3 linked regions of the Daphnia pulex genome follow. The protein of the gene in region 2 interacts with the protein of the main gene of each other region in a pairwise test. Links are inferred from orthologs where the notes say so. Each region holds a gene or a part of one and is shown on either strand. Other genes may lie near its edges. The genes, in order: cell cycle checkpoint protein RAD1-like, E3 ubiquitin-protein ligase parkin-like and mitochondrial import receptor subunit TOM70-like.

Region 1 (6,430 bases), on a different chromosome or scaffold from region 2:
ACTGTGACGATGTTCAACAAAAATTAATTGAGAAAACCCAAGAAAAAATTAACCAACAACAAAAGATAAAAAAGAAACACACAACAGACACACACACACACACAACAACAGCCAGAGCCTTCCGTCCTTATCGGTCACCTACCAGGGCCGGATAAACCGAAGAGAAACACTTCTAGGAAAGTCTCAAACGTCCCTGAGCTCAGCCTGGCCTTGAAGAGGGCAGAGACACAGAGAGTCGATTGCCCGGCCGGGCTAAGAGACTGATATGGCAGGCAAAGGATAAAAGAAGAAGAAAATAAACAAGTAGGGCCCCCACCACTGGACTACCACCACCACCACCCACACACCCATTTTGCTCTCGCCCGCCGATTTGCCTTCATCTCAGAAAAAAAGGCCTGTGATGGAATGGCACGTGAGATGTTCACGTGTTCAGATCAATGGACTCACGCACACACACAGGCAAGTGGCTGTGCTCTGGCCACCACAGCCCTGGCCCATTGCCCAAGACGAAGAGATCACAGGGGGGGGGAAAGGCAAAGTGCCCTTCGCCCCGCTTCTTGCATCACTGCTGCATGGCTGAGGGGAGGGGAGGGAAAAAATGGGCCGTGATACCTTGCATGTAATGTTGGATCCATTTCTTTTTGGGTGCCGAAGTCATGGTGCTGCTACGACCCACCAACTCCTCCGTAGCAAACACCCCCATGACCATCGATTGTAACTGGATATGAGTCGATTCATTCACCATCCGCTAGTCAACTCGAAACGGCCCGTAGTTTCCAATGCTCCCCAGAGGAAAAAACAAAAACAAAAACAAAACGACGACCACTGGGAGGGAGGAAAAATTGTTGCCGAGTCGCATTCAACAGTCACAACGCATTGCAAAATAACTCACAGGGGCCCCCCACCACCACCACCGTGGCGATGACGTCGTAACACACAAGATGCGCGCGCGCAAACTCCCAAACATACATACACACACACACACGTCCACACACGGGGAGCCACACTCACACAAATAAAATGATAATATATTAAAGAGTCTCTCTCTCTCTCTGCACTAGCCGACCTTCGATCGTAGACTGGTGAGCCAGTATCCGTTGCGGCTGCACTACGGCGTGAGTGGCGACCTCCTTCTCCTCCTCCTCCTCCACCTACCATCATCACTTGCCACCCGTTACCGCACGCTCTCCCTCCCTCCCCCCTCTCTTATATAATCAGCCATGTCGTTGGCTGCGTGCGCGACGACTTTGTTTTCACTCCCGGACTCTCTCTCTTTCCTATCTAGCTCTTGACCTCCCCCATCCGCTCTACAATGCACACCACCACCCTCCCAGTGCGAGCGGGATACACACACACACACACACTGGTTAGCACGTGCGGGTTGTGGAACCGAAGTGGGCGGGGCTTTGCCACCCTTTTTTCGGATCTATTTCGGCGTGTTACCCGCGCACGCACGCCACTCTCCCCGAGATTCGCAGTTGCGCAAATAGATCGCTCTCCTCACCCACCTCTCTCTCTCCCACTCCCGACACCCGTTCTTGCTTGTTCTTGGCGAGCCTGGAAAAATAAAAGAGGAGGAGGAGCTTTTTTGAATGGACTGTTGCCAACGTCAAAATGCCAATGCGCAGGCTCTAACTTCGTAGAGATCGAGGTCAACAATCGATGTCGACATTCTCGATGACCGTAGTGTGACGTTGGGGAAGAAGAAGAAATAAAATAAAAAAGACACGCTCCAACAGAGGCACCTGGCGGGGGCAATTACAGATTCAAAGGCCAGAAAACCAAAAGATTGATGAGCTCATATCCTCCAACACCAAACACAATAGGGAACTGATTCACAACCTTTGGCTCTGCAGAGCTCGAGAAATTCAAGACTGGGGGTGCACGAGCTTCTAAGCAGTCTGATATTATAAAGACTTTGCATGCACAAACTGATGTCAGTATGAGCAATCCTGCTTGTTTCTAGGAGGGAACGGGGACTAGATTAAACTTGTGCAAAGCAATTACCTTGGGTCTGTCGCTCTACAAATAGAGCGGCTTCCAGGAGAATCTCCAAACTCATTGTTGGACAACCACCAGCCGCTGAGTGTTAGACCTGTGGGTCAAGAAGACACAAACAGTTTTAGTCAACAGTGTAACAGCATTGAACAACAACGATGACATCCAGGATCCACATTGCATCAATATCAAATGAAAAAAAAAATAAAAATTCACACAGACGCACGCACACAGGGTCATTCGCTTTTGGGTTTCAGTACTCGTTTCATTTTGGCCTGAGGCTGGCGGCCTTGAATGAGCTCTCTATAGTCTATCAAAAGAAAACTTTTAACAAGAGGAAAATGCCTCTTTGTTTGCTTGCTTTTAATGTCTAAACTAAATGCGACAAGAATTAAATCGGCAAAAGATACTGCATTTAGTCGAAAAACCAAAGTCACTCTGATCGCCAAAGTGACGTTTGAAAACTAACACTACATCACAAGATAATATTATCGAGAAAAACTACGCACTTCAAGCGAGGCACCAGGCTACACGTGTCCCAGCGATGACGTCACCAAAATGGGCGTCACCGATTTTTGCCTTTAGGTTTTCTTGGGGGCGCCGAAGCTACTACTATTGCTGCTTGCCGAGTAGTCTACGTGCCGAATTACTGGGTTATAAATGCCGGTAAATCAAACAATCGAAACTCGATTGCACACATACTTAGCCACAAAAGAATTACACTTCACTTCACGGTTTAAGTCTCAGCACCGAAAAAGACGTTTGGGCTGTTTTTTGTCTTGTATCTGTTATCACGTTGCTCCTCGCACGTGAAAGAGAACTGCTCCCCTTCAACACCGCCAACTAAGGCGGTACCGAACTGAGTACACGCGTCGACCGCTACAACAACGATACTGGCGGCAAGTTTTCTCCCTCGCTCCGAACCATCAACAGCCATCAACTTGGTTCTTTTTTCATTCGTCCTTTACTGCTTTTATGTATTTTTATTTAAAATTTCATCTTTTCATGACTTTTACATTTAAATTCATTTCCCGCTGCCTTAATCAGTTGAAAACTATGTTTGGAAGCCAAAACATTTCTAGGTGGCGCAATGGTCGCATACGACCAATGGGCGTGCTCATTTTCGAATTCCCCATCTCTAAACTGTTGTTTTCTCGCGTTGTACAACGCCGCAATGTTTCTGACTTTCTGTTTAATAATAACAATATTTTCCTGTTTGAATCAATAAGCCGGTAGGCTTTTTCGTCGTCTCGAGATTAAAACTTGAAATTTTTACTTCCATTCCATTGCAGACAGTTTAGCACTTTTTAAATCCAACAAATTTGATTGTGCTGTATAGTTGATTGTGATAAACACAACCAGATTTTGAATTCAGTCAAAACTAGAATAATTCGTCTCGAATCATAGTTCTCTTGGATGTAACAGTTGGGTCGGTTCATTTTTTGTGCAGTACATTTTTCTGTAAAAAATCCTAGCCTTATTAACCAGAACATTTTTTCACTGATCATTTCAGGATGATCCTTTAGGAACCCTTTGCATAATTCTCAAAACTACTCCCACAACATTAAAGAGCAAACGAGTCCCACATTCACCATGCCAAATTTTCCATTTCAAAACACGTCTGGAGACCAAAGTCACATCTTGATGATACGTATGGATAATGCAAAAATTATCTCACATATCCTCAAATCCATAAATTTCAAAGAGGTAAATTCTTCAAGAATTGTAATACAGAGAAAACATGTTTTGTTAGCGATCAAAAGCTAATCCTATTACATCCTTCTTGTGATTTTGCTTTCCTTTCAGAATTCCGTATTTTGCTGTACTAGAGATGGATTAAAAGTCACAGTTGAAGACATGAAAAGTGTCCAGCTAAATGCCTTTATAGAGCCTGGAGTTTTTCAAGTAAAAAGAATTCACAAAAACAATAATTTTCACAAAATTTACTAACTCTTTGAAATTTAGAGTTATGTTATTAAAGAAGATGAGATTAAATTTCAGCTTAATTTAACTGTGCTTCTGGAATGTTTGAATGTATTTGGCTCTAACAACCTTCAAAGTGGCAGCACACCAGCCTTGAAACTCTACTATAACGGCCATGGGACTCCCGTTTCTATCTTGTATGTAAAACTACAAAGAATAATCGTTCTTTATACTTATTTCGAATTATAATTTTTTTTTTTGGCAGGCTGGAAGAATCAGGAGTTATCACTGACTGCAAGATACGTACAGTTCATTTTGATCCTGTCCTGGATTACGATTTTGGGTCGGCTAACGTCATCGGTCGTATCATTATGAGTTCGGAATGTCTTAAAGGTAATTAAGCGTTGAAAGAAGACAGAAATTTCCTAATATAATTATTGTTTTTATAGAGGTGTTTTGTGAGTTGGACTCGACTAGTGATACTGTTCAGTTTTCTTTGTCACCTGATTCGTCAAATTTTCGTATCACAACATTTGGTCATTCAGGAACTTATCATGTAAATCACGTTGTAAAGTTTTTAGTGAAGCGCGTTCTAATTCTAAACGTTTTGGGTTTCAAGGTCGATATTCCGAAAGAGAGCGATGTAATAGAAACTCTTCGTTGTACCTCGGCAGTGTCCTTTAAGTACGAAATAGATACACATACATAATAAGGCGTACACGATGTATTAGCTCAATTTCTGACTTTAGATACAAGCTCTCCTTGATGAAACCATCCATCAAACCCCTTGGAATAGCGCAAAAGGTTTCGCTACGAATCGACGATACGGGGCTCATATGTTTCCAATTCATGATCAAGGTAGAAGACAACCACAACTGTTACATCGATTTTTACGTAAGTTCATTTTTTTTTCCAAGTTCTATCCGTCAAATTACGTTTTACAACCGTCCTCTCCCTTATACACTCTAATAATTGATTTCTTATAGTGCCCTGCGGACGTCGACTTCGACGACGACGAATGAATGCCACGAGAACGAATTATTGACCGCATCACTAAAACGAAAAAAATGCCCTAGAATTATTCTAGAACGAAGATCTTTGAAAACCTTAGAAAAAACTAAAAAGCCAGCAGTTGTCTTTCATGTACAAAGTTTGTTGTTGTTCATATTTCATGATTATCATGAACGACTCCATTAAACCACGCCGGTTGGCAAGCTATTATCCTCGTTCTTGCTTTCCAATGAAAAGGGAGGGATGCGACAGTCAAAGGTGTGCCCATCTTCTCTCTCCATTCGAAACGTTCCCCTGTTCATAAAAAAAATAAATTATTTGAACTTGGCTGTTGTACTCTTTAATAAATAGTGAAAAATAACTTGAAATTACCACATATGCCCTGATGGTGCTTGTAGTGAAATATGGCTGCTATACTGGAACGCTGGTTGTTCGGGTGACAAGACCGGTTCCTTAAGAACGATTTAATGTTACATTCTAATTTTGAACGGTGGTTATTGACGTTAATTACCTGTCCAATTACTCCTCTTCCTCGAACCGTTTCTAGGGTACCCGAAAGACTGAAAATACGCCAGTGCCGTTCACGTAATTGTACAGACAGTTCTCCCAAGTTTTCGAGCCGGATACAGTAACGCCACTGCAAAAGTTAAAAATTACATTTGTAAAAAATTTGATTCACATTACCAATGGAACGAACCCAAAAGACAGTTGAATTTTGGGATTCTCGGCATCCCATGTAAAAAGGAGTAACGGTTACACGGATATTCTCTGTCGTTTCTTTGTGTACATCTGATAATTCCAGCCAAGGGTGATTTCTTTCTTGCCACGCTCGCAACGTCTCTCTTGCTTCAAACGGAGGATCTGCACTTTATATATCGATGATTCGTGTTAAAAAAATTCGATAGTAGATTCGCAATGTAGCTGGGCGGGAAAACATTAACCTTTATCGGGGTCAGGCATAAGAAATTTGTCAAAAAGCTCGTGACATAAGGGTTGGTGCTCAGTGGTTCGATACGGCAAGATATCTTCGTGAGCAGCATAGTCCAGACCAGGAATAGCATAAAGCGACTTGCTATTTTCTTGTTGACCTAAAAATGTGACCGCTTCTGTTTGTGCTCTCTTAATAAACAGAAATCTAGTTTTACTAAATGTGCTCCTGAAAACTGAAAAGGTCATCAGCTTAAGAAAAGTTAAATACTCACAATATGAGGACAGTCGCGGGAATCAATGAGCACCTGATAGTAAGTATGGTTTTTCCCTTTTACTTCTCTTCCAACTTGATTAGAGGTATTAACATCAGTATCAGGAGTTCTGTATTTTTTTTAAGTACAGGATTAGCAAGTATTTCATGAGAGATGATGTAAGCTATGTCTGCAAAAGCTTGTCCCTTGCACATATATTATGGAAAACAAAACTTTGTTTTTACAGTACTATTCTTAGATCTTTTTCAATGGCAATGGAAATGAAAATGTTACAGTAACAGAAATGCAATATGGAA
Region 2 (6,449 bases):
GGGAAATCCAGACGGCCGTCCGTCTGCTCTTGCCCGGTGAGTTGGCCAAGCACGCCGTGTCTGAAGGCACCAAGGCAGTGACCAAGTACACCAGCACCAAGTAGAGTGATCCTCTTGTTCTCTCTACAAACCAAACGGCCCTTTTCAGGGCCACCAAATTTTAAAGAAAGGAAAAACATCTAACTACTTTTGACATTTATTATCTAATCGAGTTCTAAACTGAACCCATATTGTTGATTAGTGCGACGGAACGTTAGGAAATACTGTGATCAAGAGCTTTTCTCTATCTTTCTGCTGAATTTTAAGTTTGGCAGATCCGGTTCAATGCGTTGATTTTACATATTCATTTGATTTAGAAAATGATTGATATTAAAATTTATCTCCGTTAGCAACTCCTTCTACATACTAAGGAACTAAGGAAGATTTTTGTTAAATATGAAAGTTAAAAATAAAAATACTGCGTAAAATCTGAGAAAACAATATCAATAACATAACAGCATCTCGATATTTTTCGATCGAGTTATTTGGATTAACATAGTTTCAGATCACAAGATCCTTTAGGACGCATTGCTCCAACACCTGCTATGTCAATCAAATCTTTCAAAGATGAAATAAAAGAATGATGCTTATTAATTCAAAATTCAAGGATTTTGTTCTTGTAGCAGCATAAAGTCGACAAGAATATGGTTTAAAAAGTGGTTAAGAAATCTTTTTCTTTAAGTAAATGGTGGCCCTGAAAAGGGCCGATTGGATTGAGTCAGGAGTTAAAATAATAAATCGGAATCAAATTTAACCGCCGAAGCCGTACAGAGTGCGGCCCTGGCGTTTCAATGCGTAGACGACGTCCATGGCCGTCACCGTCTTCCTCTTGGCGTGTTCAGTGTAGGTGACGGCGTCACGAATCACGTTCTCAAGGAACACCTTCAACACACCGCGGGTCTCCTCGTAGATGAGACCAGAGATTCGCTTGACACCACCACGACGGGCAAGACGACGGATGGCCGGCTTGGTGATTCCCTGGATGTTGTCACGCAAAACTTTGCGATGACGTTTGGCGCCTCCCTTGCCGAGTCCTTTTCCTCCTTTGCCGCGACCAGTCATTTTCAAATAAGTTTCAGAGATTTAAAAAATATCGAATGATGTTATGTTAAACTCACTATGGTCCCAATATATACCCTACCGGATCCTCAAGCTGAACTCCTATTGGTGGAACTCAGCTCCAGCCATCATTTGTCAACAAAAAGGATTTCCGTTATAAATTTTCTATTCCCTCCCATTTTTGAATTAACCAATCCCTAGCCAGTGAACTCGCTTAGCTCTGCAACGTCCGTAGGTTCCCCACATATACCAAGCACTTTTCACTAGTTAGGACATCTGAAATTTCACTCGCTCGAAATGGCTCGTACCAAGCAAACTGCTCGTAAATCCACCGGTGGCAAGGCGCCCCGCAAACAGTTGGCCACCAAAGCCGCTCGCAAGAGTGCCCCGGCCACTGGAGGAGTCAAGAAACCCCATCGTTATCGTCCCGGCACCGTCGCCCTTCGTGAGATCCGTCGCTACCAAAAGTCGACCGAGCTTCTGATCCGCAAGTTGCCATTCCAGCGCTTGGTCAGAGAAATCGCCCAGGATTTCAAGACAGATTTGCGTTTCCAGAGCTCGGCCGTCATGGCCCTGCAGGAGGCCAGCGAGGCTTACTTGGTGGGTCTTTTCGAAGACACCAACTTGTGCGCCATCCACGCCAAGCGAGTCACCATCATGCCAAAAGACATCCAGCTCGCTCGTCGTATTCGTGGTGAACGTGCCTAAGCGACCTTTTCCCTTTTGACTTACCAATCGGCCCTTTTCAGGGCCACCATTAGTTGCTTGAAAAGATTTTTCCTGCCAGACATTTCAATATCTTGGATTAAACTAGATCAGTATTGTTTAATTACCAACTTCTTTCTAATTTTCTGGAAATTAATAGTTGTATAAATTTCTTTCATCCAAGGTTGAATTTTAGAATAATTAGTTAGTTGCTATAAGAAGTGTAACGTTATATAAGACCTAAAACTAATTTAATTAAAAGTAACCCAGTAACATGATTTGGTCGACTTCTGTTGGGTTCGTCATTTTCAGTTAAAGTACGGATTTCGATAATTACTTATGTAAATAAACGTGTAGGTATGACCGAAAAAGAGGGGCTTACGAAAGAGGTTAAGTATATCAAGGATTTTTCGACATTACTTATTCTAGAAATTTACAGCAGTTTTTAGTTTGACAAGTTTAAGTTGACCTTCTAGAGCCATAAAAGCCTACAAGCCACAATCTCACTAAACACCAGAATAACAGATAATTTCGTTACCTTTTATATACTCTGCTAAATATAATAAGACGAAGTTGACTTGTTGATGAGAGTGACGAAGAGAAGGTGCTAGCGTCAACCTACTAACTAAATATTATGACGAAATTGTTGCTAGTCCATTTCACAGCAGACTGCAGACGACGTTTGTTCCAATTCATTTCAACCGAAGCCAACGTAAACAATATTTTCAGTTCGTGCCGGTATGCAATATAAAAATATAAAATATTTTTGGTTATTTAAATTATACATTTTTTACGTAGATATCTCGCTTTCATAATGTTCTTCAATCTTGGGTTTTTCACGTAAACCTACAGAATGATTAAATGGCTGTTGTCGCTCATACGTTCATTATTGAACAGAATTTTGAGATTTTTTTGGCCCAGTGATTCAAGTGAATTTACCCTGCCTGTTCACATAAAAGCTGCAGGAGGTAAAACATTTCTTATCGAAATGAGTCGAGATTGGGATGTAGCTCGGATCAAGAAATTTATAGCCCCTAAAGTTGGTCTGAAAGTTGAAGATATCAGCATTATTTTGGCTGGCAAAAGTCTTGCTGATGACTTGTTACTAGAGGTTTGTTAATTTCTTATATTGCTTTTGTTGATATTCTAAGTTTAATTTACCCAACAAATTTTTAGGAGTGTGATCTTGGTCATAATAGTATTCTAAATGCTGTTAAACTTAAAGTCATAAAAAAAACTGATGCAACTTCTTCCGAAGACAAAAATAGGAGAAATACACCATTTCATCAAGACAAGCCTCTTTGTGAAACATTGCTCGACTTGCAGTTAACTGAAGAGGAACAGAAATTGTTGCACAAATCTCTGGGTACGTCTGCAAATAGTTTTCCAAATCATTTTATGAATTCTGACAACTTCCTCGTTTTTAGCTTGTAGTTCTCCAGAGTATAAGCAAAAGAAAGCTCAGTTTTATGTTTACTGTGAATTTCCATGCAAATCAATACAAAGTGGTAAACTTCGAGTTCGATGTAGCCTTTGCAAAGCTGGTGCCTTCACCGTGGACCGAGATCCTTGCTGCTGGGATGATGTTTTACGACCGGAGCAAGTTAGTGGTACTTGTCAGATGGAAGATTGTGATCATTCGTGGGCCGAATTCTACTTCAAGTGCGCACATCACCCTTCACGAGGAGAGACTGACTCAACTCTTCCTCTGAATCTCGTCAAATCAAACTTCAAACAGGTTCAGTGCCTGGCCTGCATGGATATTAGGTAGCAATCGTTTTAAAGTTAAGATAGAATTCAGTAACTTGGCAACTTATTTTAATATCCCACTTTAGTGATCCTGTTTTGGTATTTCAATGTACCAACTCTCATGTGATATGTTTGGAGTGCTTCCAGCAATACTGTATGTCTCGATTGAACGAAAGGAGGTTTGTCTTCGATCCCAATATCGGTTATACCCTGCCTTGTCCAGCTGGATGTGAGAACTCATTGATCGACGGAACCCAGCACTTTAAAATTCTAGGAAATGAGCAGTACCAACGACTCCTGCACTTTGGAGCAGAGGAATATGTTATGTCGACAGGTGGTGTGCTTTGTCCACAACCTGGCTGTGGAATGGGCTTACTTGCGGACCCTTCTTGTCGCCGAATTCAATGCACAGGGGGATGTGAGGTAAGCATATTCTCATAAATATAACCTTGTTAAAAAATGTCTAAATGTTTTTCGCAACTCAGTTCGTGTTCTGCCGCGATTGCCTACAAGGCTATCACATCGACGAGTGTCAGACAAATGGAGAAAACAACTTTCAATCCATGTTGACAACCACCGAGTACGTTGTAGATCCCGGACGAGCTGCTCAGGTTTCTCTAATATCCACATTTGAGCTTGATTCTAGATTAAATGAGTAACATGAAATTATTTACTTAGGCGAGGTGGGATGCAGACAGTCGCGTTACCATACGTGTTACTTCAAAACCTTGCCCAAAGTGCCGAACGCCAACCGAGCGAGATGGTAAATTAAATTATGATCTGGGATTATTTCTCTAACGGTGTAGCTAATTTCTTGTTTGTTCACAGGAGGTTGTATGCACATGATCTGTACTCGACAACAGTGTGGATTTCATTGGTGCTGGGTTTGTCAAACGGAGTGGACAAGAGAGTGCATGGGAAGTCACTGGTTCGGATAAGACAACCTTTCCGCTTTCTTTATCAACCCTTTTATAAAGTACCGTGGTTCCTTGGTGTCGGGTAGTATAAGGGTGGAGAGTGTACATTTCTTTACGCTATACTAGTCAAGAAATTGATGACATTTGGTTCCTATAATAATCTAGACAAATCTGTTAATTGAAAATTGAAATGAATCATTTATCCGAAATATTCAAATGCTGTTCTAGGGAAGTCTTAAGAAGCCTTTAATTTTCCAACTGTCACAATCAAAATATTGCAAACATCCCGTGTTTCACCGATTGAAGGCCTAGACAAGATTTGTGTAATCGGCAGTCGAGGTATAGGGAATGATAAATACCCATATGTATAGCCAATGAAAATAAAGCCAGAAGATTCCCACTAGAAATAAATTTTTCAAGATTTTAAGCCTTTACAAGACGGTGATGAAATTGAATCCTTTTTCCCAATGAACAGAATGTTGAAGTCTCTGGCAAGTGAAAAAAAAGTCTCATTTCTACTGCAATCAGTCCTTGCCACTCTCTTCGTCATCATCATCGGTAGCAAATTCAGATTCGGAGCCTCCAGAGTTCTTATCTTCTTCATCCTCATCATCGGAAATATCCCATTGTGGATGCTCAGTAGGAATCTCCTCTGCTTCTTTAACGTCCATCTGTGAATTAAAATTTTAATCAATCAATAACCTATTTAGCAAAATTAAAATAATTAGCCGGAATATACCTTGATATCCTTCATTTGATCAAAACCAAAATATGAATCGGAGCGTAAACACACGGCGAACGTGTAGAATCCCGGCTTGAACGGAGCTGTGAATTTGAGTTGGATTTCTTCGTGCTCTACTAGATTGGTAATGTGATAGGGGGCGGTCAGAAGCATTTGTTGTTTCCGGTCCGTAATATAAGCCCACCAATATTCTTGTTTGTCTTCGGGATAGAACGGGCAGTACACCGAGTGCGAAAACTGACTTTTACCCTCCAGCAGCCTCTGGCGACGCATTGCAACATCACTCTGTAGCTTTTCTAATTGATCGTCGTCTTTCTCGGGCAAAGAACCATCATTGTTGGCTGCTTCCGCCTCGCCGTCGTCAGATTCGTCCAATTCAACTTCGTCCTCGGCTTCAACTTCACTACAACTTTCGGATTCTTCTTCCTTTGTCTTGTTAGCTGTTTTACTTGATGCTGCTGCAGTCTTCTTCTTATCTTCTACTTCCTTCTTTATTGGCTTTTTGCTGCCTTTTTTATTAGTAGCTCTCTTGCCTTTGTTTTTCTGCCACGGTAGTGACTTCTTTTTGGGTTCCTGTTTTTCTTCTTCTTCCGCTATCACTTCACCGTTCTCGAAAACTTCATTTGTTGTTTCCTTCTCGTTAGCGAACAGAACGCTCAAATCTCTCCTTGCCAAGGCGATCGTAACCTGATTTAAAAGAATGAGTTCTCCGACCGTTGAAACTATTTTGTAAAAATTCATCTTACCGTGACGATAGCGCCAGCTGTGTACTTTGTGGTGGATTCGTCATCCACTACTTCATATTTAATATTCATATCCACATAAGGCATTCCTCCCAGAGCGAGAACCAAATCATTGTATTGATTGTCGTCAAGATGACGTAAGCACTCGCGTCTATCTTCGTCCTTCAGTCGGGCTAGCTGTTCCAGCGAGCGGATCTGTTGCGACACAATGGCTCGTTAAAAAAACCATCTAACTTTTCAGCTTGATTAACACACAAAAATAATTACCTGATATCGCTTGCTGGAAAAGTACTTGAGATTTTCGTCGGTGATGTGAGGCAATTGCATGAGAGGACTCTTGCATTCCCAAAGTCCTTGAACGACCATGGCCGAAAGTTTCATACAACCTTCCAATGTGACCAGAGACGGCATGCGGCTCAGCCGCCCTGCATGGGCCAACATGATGAGTTGAGATACGCACACAACCATTTCTTGAATTAACGCGGGGCACTTCTT
Region 3 (6,539 bases), on a different chromosome or scaffold from region 2:
ACGTGAGTAACTCGTCTCTCCTATTGCGCTCTTTAGAGCGACGGTTGTGTAACACCGAACAAAAACACATGGTATGCAGTCTTATATTTGGAAAAAATTGTATTTATTTATTTTTTTTATTATTCTGGTTTTTTGTCAACCCTGAAGTCTGACTCTGATATGGAAATAAATCCTGCTAGACGAATGGGATTCGCCGACGATAACTTCGTCATGATCCACGGGGACTATTATCGCATGAACGACATCTCAAATGCAAATAGGCGACCGATTATGCTGTTAGCTTGGTACACGGAATTTGCCGATATCCTGTTGCGGAACTTAAGATTGGGACTCGCTGAAGAGACTCGCCAAGACCTTGAAGAAAAAGGTGCAACTGACATTGTCAAAAAAATTGCTGAATTTTTAGAAAATACACCATCCGTTTTTTCACGTCCTGGGCAATCAACTTCTGAAGAGACACGAAATCGCAATAGGATTGTGAACAAATTAAAAATGGTAAAACAAATTCGTAACCATGGAACGCACAACAAAATTCAAGATTCATATTGGCTAGAAGCAATGCTCACATGCATGATTGATCTCTGCCAAATGCTCAAACAACTCGGAATGGCCAGCAATCGATTAAGAATCTTCGAAGCGGATTGTGTCGAGCAATTAAAAAAATTGCGAAGGTTCAATGACTTGTTTTAGACTTTATGCGCCGGTGATTGGCGTCGCGTTATCATTCGAGCCATAAAAACTTTTGTGATGTTTAATTGCTAACTTGAATACAAAGGAGATTTAATCGAAAGACTCACTTCAATCATTTAACAGGTTTAATTTAAGTATTATATCTTATCTTACGGAAACAAACAACGGCTGACTAACTTGCAGTTAAATGTCTTTCTTCAAATCTTGTTTCTCAACGAAATTCACACGAAATTGTATTACAATTTCTAGATAACAGCACTTGGTATCCTTGGATTTGACTTCAAATTGAATTCTTGTTCAATCTTCAATGGCGTAAACGTTATTTTCTGTTTGTGACGACTTGCCTTCTTGGACTATACTGAAAATAGACTGAACCTTGTTTACGCTAATGTTGTTTACGTTGTCGCCGCCAGTTTTAAAATGAGATCTGGAGCAGAGCCTCAGATTCTTTTTCCTTATGTGGCGCTGCCAGGGCGCTGCTATACGTGGAGCAATAAAAGAAACAGCTAGCGCTTCAGCATGTATAGTTGTGATTGTTCGTTTTCAACTGGCCAAAAGTTTGAGTGTGATGCTGATGTAAATTAATATATCTATTTGAAAATCTAACCTTAAACCATTTACGGATCCATCACATATTTAATTTAACTTTAGGCACAGTTATTCTCAGCTAATCGTCCTTCAATATGAACCGTCCTCTGCTGAACCATTTCTGGCACTTTTCGAGTACCAACTGCCGGAGCATCTAACGACAGCACATCAAACTACTGCGCCTACCTTTCTATTCTATTCATACCTACGCTACGACTACGATTTGAAAAGTGGATATTGTTGTGATGGACTTTGTTCCACGTTGATAACTTGATCTGCGAAACCAAAAACCAGTGAAATCAAGTCTAACTGTCGTAAGTAATTCTTTTGTATGAAGTGGCTATGTTTTCTCGCAATAGTTAAATTATCGTTACGTTGTGTCTCGTCTACACCAAACGAGACTTTCTTTCGGCGACTTCGAATTGCTAGACCGCTATCGTAATCAGTATTTCTTTGTGTTTATTGTATTGTAGATAAACCACTTGGCGGCTGCTAATAAGTTAATTTTGCCGTCTATCTGTATCCTTTTAGTCTTACTGAACAACAGGCGTTTCCTATTCGCTATACCTTTCTTTGTGATTTGTATATTTCGTGACATTTTTTTGAATAAGTTTTTTTTTTGTTCAACTCCATAAGCAATAACGTCTTTCACTTTCAAAAAGTTTTTTCTTCCATCCTACCTTTATTTTGTTCACTTCTACTTCAAGCACACGACTTAAAAACATTATTTTAAACACACTATAGTGTGTTTAATAACATTATAATGTTATCTTAATAAAAATTCTTGCATGAAAACCGACATTCATTTCTGTAAATGTGTTAGGATTTGATTTGCTTTTATCATAATTGACGTAAATGAAAACGTTATTTTCTCTACTTAAATACGTGGGTTGTTCTAACTTCTAAACTACAGATAGAAATAACACGAGTTCAAGTAAGATTAGGTACACAACATGCATCGAAGAAGAACACATGTGTCACCTTTAAATTTAACACTCTGACTCGGAACCAAAGTTAAACAAACTACCGTAGTGGTGAAATGTCCATCAGTCGTCATGTGTTGTCGCAACAATCCAGTGATTTCAAGTGTTAACAAATCTTCTCAAAATATGTTGCTGATTTTTTGAGAATGCGTCTGCGGATGACGTCAGAGGGTTCGTGACTTTGAAAAATTATGATTGATAATGATTGGAATTTTTTTATTTGTAGTCAAGTTAATCGTACTATAATAAAGTTGGTATAAAATGCTAGTGAACACAGTTCACCATAAATTTACAAGATTTTGAACGCACCCGAAATCATAAAAAATCGATTAATTTTGTTATTTAAAAAACAGATTTAAATTTATTTAAATTGTTGATTATTACGCCAGAAAACGGGAAAAAGTGGTGTGATCCGGTTACCGATTGCATTTTATAGCACGAATATTGGGTAATTTAATTCAAATTCCCGCTTTAAGCCATCTAGTGTTCACGATTTCAACTGCGTTGCTGAAAAAAGCCGGTCTTAAAAAATACAGTCCCGAGCGTTGCACGTCGTCTGGAGTTTCCGTGACTGCTGACTGCATTCAACCAGGAAAAAAACATTTTACACAACAATGTCTGGATCCGCACGTGCAGGTTCCTCGTCCGGGCTTTCATTGCCTAAATGGCAAATAGCTTTAGCTATTGGAGCTCCAGTAGCCTTAGGTAAGTTTTTTCTAATTGCTTGTTAGACTTCAATTAAAATGGCTAATGTAAAGCACATGTGTGGCTTTTCCAGGACTCGGTATATGGTATTATCGATCGAGGAAAACTGGAATTCAGCCTGCAGACAAGGAAGACAAGCAGAGCAAGAAAAGTGTAGAAGATGTAGCTACTAGTGTCACAGTCACTGGTGAAACTCAACCACCCAAGAAAGCCAACGGAATAGATAACAGCACTGGAAAAAGTGCTGCTCCAGTGGTAGAAGAAGACCCTAACAAGCAGGCCCAAACATACAAGAACAAAGGCAATAAGTATTTCAAAGAAGGCAAATATTCAGATGCGATCAAGTGCTACCAACAAGCCATAGATATCTGTCCAAAAGACAACACAGATATTTCCCTTTTCCACCAGAACCGGGCAGCCGCCTTTGAACAACTGGTACCTATACAGAATGTTACTAACAATTCAACAACCTATAAATATTGCCTAACTCTCACAGAAAAACTATGAAGCTGTCATTAAAGACTGCACAGAAGCTCTCCAGTACAACTCAAAGTATGTCAAAGCTCTGCACAGAAGAGCAAAGGCCTATGAAATAACAAAGCAGTTAGAGGCATGCTTAGAAGATATTACCGCTGTATGCATATTGGAGGCCTTTCAGAATCAGTCATCATTATTGATGGCTGATAGAGTGCTTAAAGATTTAGGTAACTTTTCCCCCATTTCTTTACCTCCAGAATAATTTGAAAAGAGACGTTGATCGATCCACGCAGGGAAGGAACATGCCAAAGAAGCCATGCTAAACCGACAGTCTGTCATTCCGTCCAAACACTCTGTCAACACTTTCATGTGTTCTTTTGCGGAAGACCCCGTTTTTAATCTACTAAAACAGGACAATACGATGGTAAAAGCAAACAGAATTATTCATTTGGTTTCGTTTCCTCTTATCTGTAATCTTATCTCTCAGCAACCAGAAACAGATGAAGAAAAGAGCTATTTCGCCAAAGCCTTGGACAAGTTGAGAGAGAAAGAATTCGACCCCATTATTGAATTGTGCACGAATGAACTCGAATCTGAAGCGGTAGGGAAATAGGACAGTAAATTTTTGAAACCTTAATTTCACAGTATCTTGTCTCTTTATTAACAGGGTGACATAACAATCAAAAGACTTGCAAGGCTTCTACGAGGAACGTTCCTTTCCCTACTTGGCGAGCATGAAAAAGCCTTGGACGATTTTTCTTCAGTATTCAACGACCCTGAAACAGACCCCAAGGTGAAATTAATATACAAAAACATTCTCCCCATATTTATCTCAACGTATTTGTCAATTTTTAGGTTAGGGTGAACGCCTTGGTGAAAAGGGCCACTCTCCGGATGCAACTTGGTTCCCCTGAAGAAAGTTTACACGATTTGCTGATGGCCGCCGAGCTCGGGCCAGAAAATGCTGACGTCTTCCATCACAGAGGACAGGTATATCCGTTTTTGACTTTCATGAATTTAAAAGGTTTCACTAAATTGTATTCCACCCTCTTGTCAGGTTTACATGTTGCTGGATCAAGCCAGTGAAGCCATGAGTGATTTCGCCAAAGCTGTTTCTCTGAATGGAGATTTTCCCATTGCTCTTGTCCAGAAGCTCTACACAGACTACCGAGCCGCTGTAGCGATGAGCAACGCCGGAGAAGTCGTTGCATCATTGGCAGCGTTCGAAGATGCCATCCGCCGATTCCCTACTTGCCCTGAATGCTTCCTTCTCTATGCACAAGTCAGTTGGAACCCTAATTATTCATTTGTTGTGGACAGTATCTTATTTTTTTTCTTTTTCTAATCGGTTTTGTTATCAGGTGTTGTCTGATCAACAAGAGTTTGTGAAGGCCGACGAGTTGTTTATGAAAGCTCTTGAAGTGGACCCTCACAACGCCACTGCATATGTGCATAGAGGTACTGAAATGTCTGTTTAATTTTAGGAGCTGGGGAGCTATAATTAAAACTCTTATCTTGTCGGACGCAGGTCTGCTCCAGCTGCAGTCTACTGGTAACGTTGAATTGGCAACTAAGCATATCGAAGAGGCTATACGAATGGATGACAAGTGCGAATTCGCATACGAGACTCTTGGTACGATCGAAGTTCAACGCGGCAACCTACGACGGGCGATCGAGCTTTTTGATAAAGCTATTCCGTTATCGAAAACGGAAGCCGAGGTTTCGCACCTCTTTTCATTGAAAGATGCAGCTCTGGCCCAACTTAAAGTGGCCCTTAATCTTGGCGTCACCCTACCTTCTGCCATGAACTGATGACGACTAAGAAAGAAAAAGAAAAAAAACGATTTGACTATTTCCTGAATTCCCTGTAGACTTAAGTCTTTCACAACTTATTATGGAATCGACCTTAAAACGCAAATTTAGCTTGAATAACCGAGTCACCGTCTTGTTCGTCAGGGTTTGTTTTGTTAAATGTGGGTAGTAATATTTGTAATAAAAGAAACAAGAACAATGTCAAGTTTTCATTTCAAAATGTGTATCAAGGGTTTTTTTTCTTCATTAAATTGTTATTTAAGCACACTCACAAGCAAATCAGACATATGTCAAATTGTCAACACACACTCGTAAAGGAATTGTTTGAAAATCACTTGACCAGGGGTCGGTTCTTCTCCTCTGTAATCAAATATAAGGTTAAGATTTGGTGTAAATCACAGAATATAGAGCAATATCACCTTCATCACCAAGCCGTTCCTTGTATTTCTTCACTTCACTCATGTACTGGGACCAGGCATCTGTTTTCCCCTATTGAATGTATAAAAGACAAATGTTAAAAACATATTTTGAGCCAGGGATAAATATGGAAACTTACACTACTTTCTTCTTCTTCCTCGGGTCGTTTCTGCTTCTTAACAACTCCAACGGGAAGGGATTTGCCACCACGGCGTTTTCCAACCTGTACGGATATAGAAATGACTCGCCCGTTAGTGTCGTTCAGCTATAACTTTGAATCTGAAACCGCCGCGAATGTCGGGCTAGGATATCATCCTTGGGATCACTGGAAGAGATACGTCTGTTTAAACGATTCAACAACTGAGTTGGTTCTCTGGAGAATCTGGAGGAAGAAGACTTACGATGGACATGAGACCAGGTTTCTTCTGTTGAACAGGTTGTGGTGATGCTGCTGAGGCTGCTGGTTCCTCTTCCTTTTTCGTAGAGCATTTCTTTTCAGCTGAAGAAGAAGTGTCTGTATCTTTCACCAGCTGCTGTTCGTGTACAGTCTTCTCAGGTACTTGGGTTTGACTGTTTTCCTGCATCTTTTTGAACATTTCCAGGAAACTTCCGTCATTTTTGAACTTGACAGCAGTCGGTCCGGGTTTTCCCGATGGTTCTTCTTCAGAATCTTCTTCATCAGAACTATCACTTGAGCTTTCCAGCAATTCGCCTTCTTCTCTGGGGGAAGCCATTTTTCTTTTGACAAACAAACAAATTTTCCGCTAGGTGTCAGCATAAACGATGACAATGCCTGGGGATAGAAATGCGCAACTACGAAAATATAAATAATTCAATAAATAATATCAGGAATTCGACGCAACAATT

What was found.
Region 1: the proteins of E3 ubiquitin-protein ligase parkin-like (region 2) and cell cycle checkpoint protein RAD1-like interact in binary tests that used the Homo sapiens proteins (3 or more experiments, as listed by UniProt). The link is inferred for Daphnia pulex from reciprocal best matches to the Homo sapiens genes PRKN and RAD1.
Region 3: the proteins of E3 ubiquitin-protein ligase parkin-like (region 2) and mitochondrial import receptor subunit TOM70-like come close enough for resonance energy transfer, tested with the Homo sapiens proteins (3 studies listed by BioGRID). The link is inferred for Daphnia pulex from reciprocal best matches to the Homo sapiens genes PRKN and TOMM70.

The regions. Positions count from the first base shown.
Region 1 is NC_060028.1:2,683,434-2,689,863, forward strand, and holds cell cycle checkpoint protein RAD1-like, read left to right. Parts: upstream 1-2,848; 5' UTR 2,849-2,975; exon of another isoform or gene 2,976-3,427; intron 3,428-3,486; exon of another isoform or gene 3,487-3,511; 5' UTR 3,512-3,591; coding exon 3,592-3,705; intron 3,706-3,804; coding exon 3,805-3,903; intron 3,904-3,963; coding exon 3,964-4,118; intron 4,119-4,186; coding exon 4,187-4,314; intron 4,315-4,370; coding exon 4,371-4,477; intron 4,478-4,540; coding exon 4,541-4,605; intron 4,606-4,630; exon of another isoform or gene 4,631-4,670; coding exon 4,671-4,890; 3' UTR 4,891-4,907; coding exon of another isoform or gene 4,908-4,943; 3' UTR 4,944-5,114; coding exon of another isoform or gene 5,115-5,226; 3' UTR 5,227-5,259; downstream 5,260-6,430. Other genes in the region: uncharacterized protein LOC124209761, read right to left, coding at 613-745; polymerase delta-interacting protein 2-like, read right to left, coding at 5,115-5,226, 5,305-5,384, 5,444-5,569, 5,630-5,793, 5,874-6,051, 6,135-6,243. UniProt on the Homo sapiens protein: Component of the 9-1-1 cell-cycle checkpoint response complex that plays a major role in DNA repair. The 9-1-1 complex is recruited to DNA lesion upon damage by the RAD17-replication factor C (RFC) clamp loader complex.
Region 2 is NC_060026.1:3,259,914-3,266,362, forward strand, and holds E3 ubiquitin-protein ligase parkin-like, read left to right. Parts: upstream 1-2,430; 5' UTR 2,431-2,541; intron 2,542-2,601; 5' UTR 2,602-2,656; coding exon 2,657-2,914; intron 2,915-2,979; coding exon 2,980-3,169; intron 3,170-3,230; coding exon 3,231-3,570; intron 3,571-3,638; coding exon 3,639-3,975; intron 3,976-4,037; coding exon 4,038-4,163; intron 4,164-4,230; coding exon 4,231-4,315; intron 4,316-4,380; coding exon 4,381-4,490; 3' UTR 4,491-4,993; coding exon of another isoform or gene 4,994-5,140; 3' UTR 5,141-5,202; downstream 5,203-6,449. Other genes in the region: histone H2B.3, read left to right, coding at 1-104; histone H4, read right to left, coding at 790-1,101; histone H3, read left to right, coding at 1,396-1,806; translocation protein SEC63 homolog, read right to left, coding at 4,994-5,140, 5,209-5,898, 5,958-6,149, 6,222-6,449. UniProt on the Homo sapiens protein: Functions within a multiprotein E3 ubiquitin ligase complex, catalyzing the covalent attachment of ubiquitin moieties onto substrate proteins. Substrates include SYT11 and VDAC1.
Region 3 is NC_060019.1:2,587,452-2,593,990, forward strand, and holds mitochondrial import receptor subunit TOM70-like, read left to right. Parts: upstream 1-2,785; 5' UTR 2,786-2,875; coding exon 2,876-2,966; intron 2,967-3,039; coding exon 3,040-3,401; intron 3,402-3,462; coding exon 3,463-3,670; intron 3,671-3,736; coding exon 3,737-3,867; intron 3,868-3,930; coding exon 3,931-4,044; intron 4,045-4,110; coding exon 4,111-4,236; intron 4,237-4,298; coding exon 4,299-4,433; intron 4,434-4,500; coding exon 4,501-4,725; intron 4,726-4,804; coding exon 4,805-4,901; intron 4,902-4,971; coding exon 4,972-5,255; 3' UTR 5,256-5,454; downstream 5,455-6,539. Other genes in the region: uncharacterized protein LOC124189772, read left to right, coding at 69-71, 148-690; telomerase RNA component interacting RNase-like, read right to left, coding at 5,587-5,615, 5,675-5,744, 5,812-5,895, 6,074-6,406. UniProt on the Homo sapiens protein: Acts as a receptor of the preprotein translocase complex of the outer mitochondrial membrane (TOM complex). Recognizes and mediates the translocation of mitochondrial preproteins from the cytosol into the mitochondria in a chaperone dependent manner.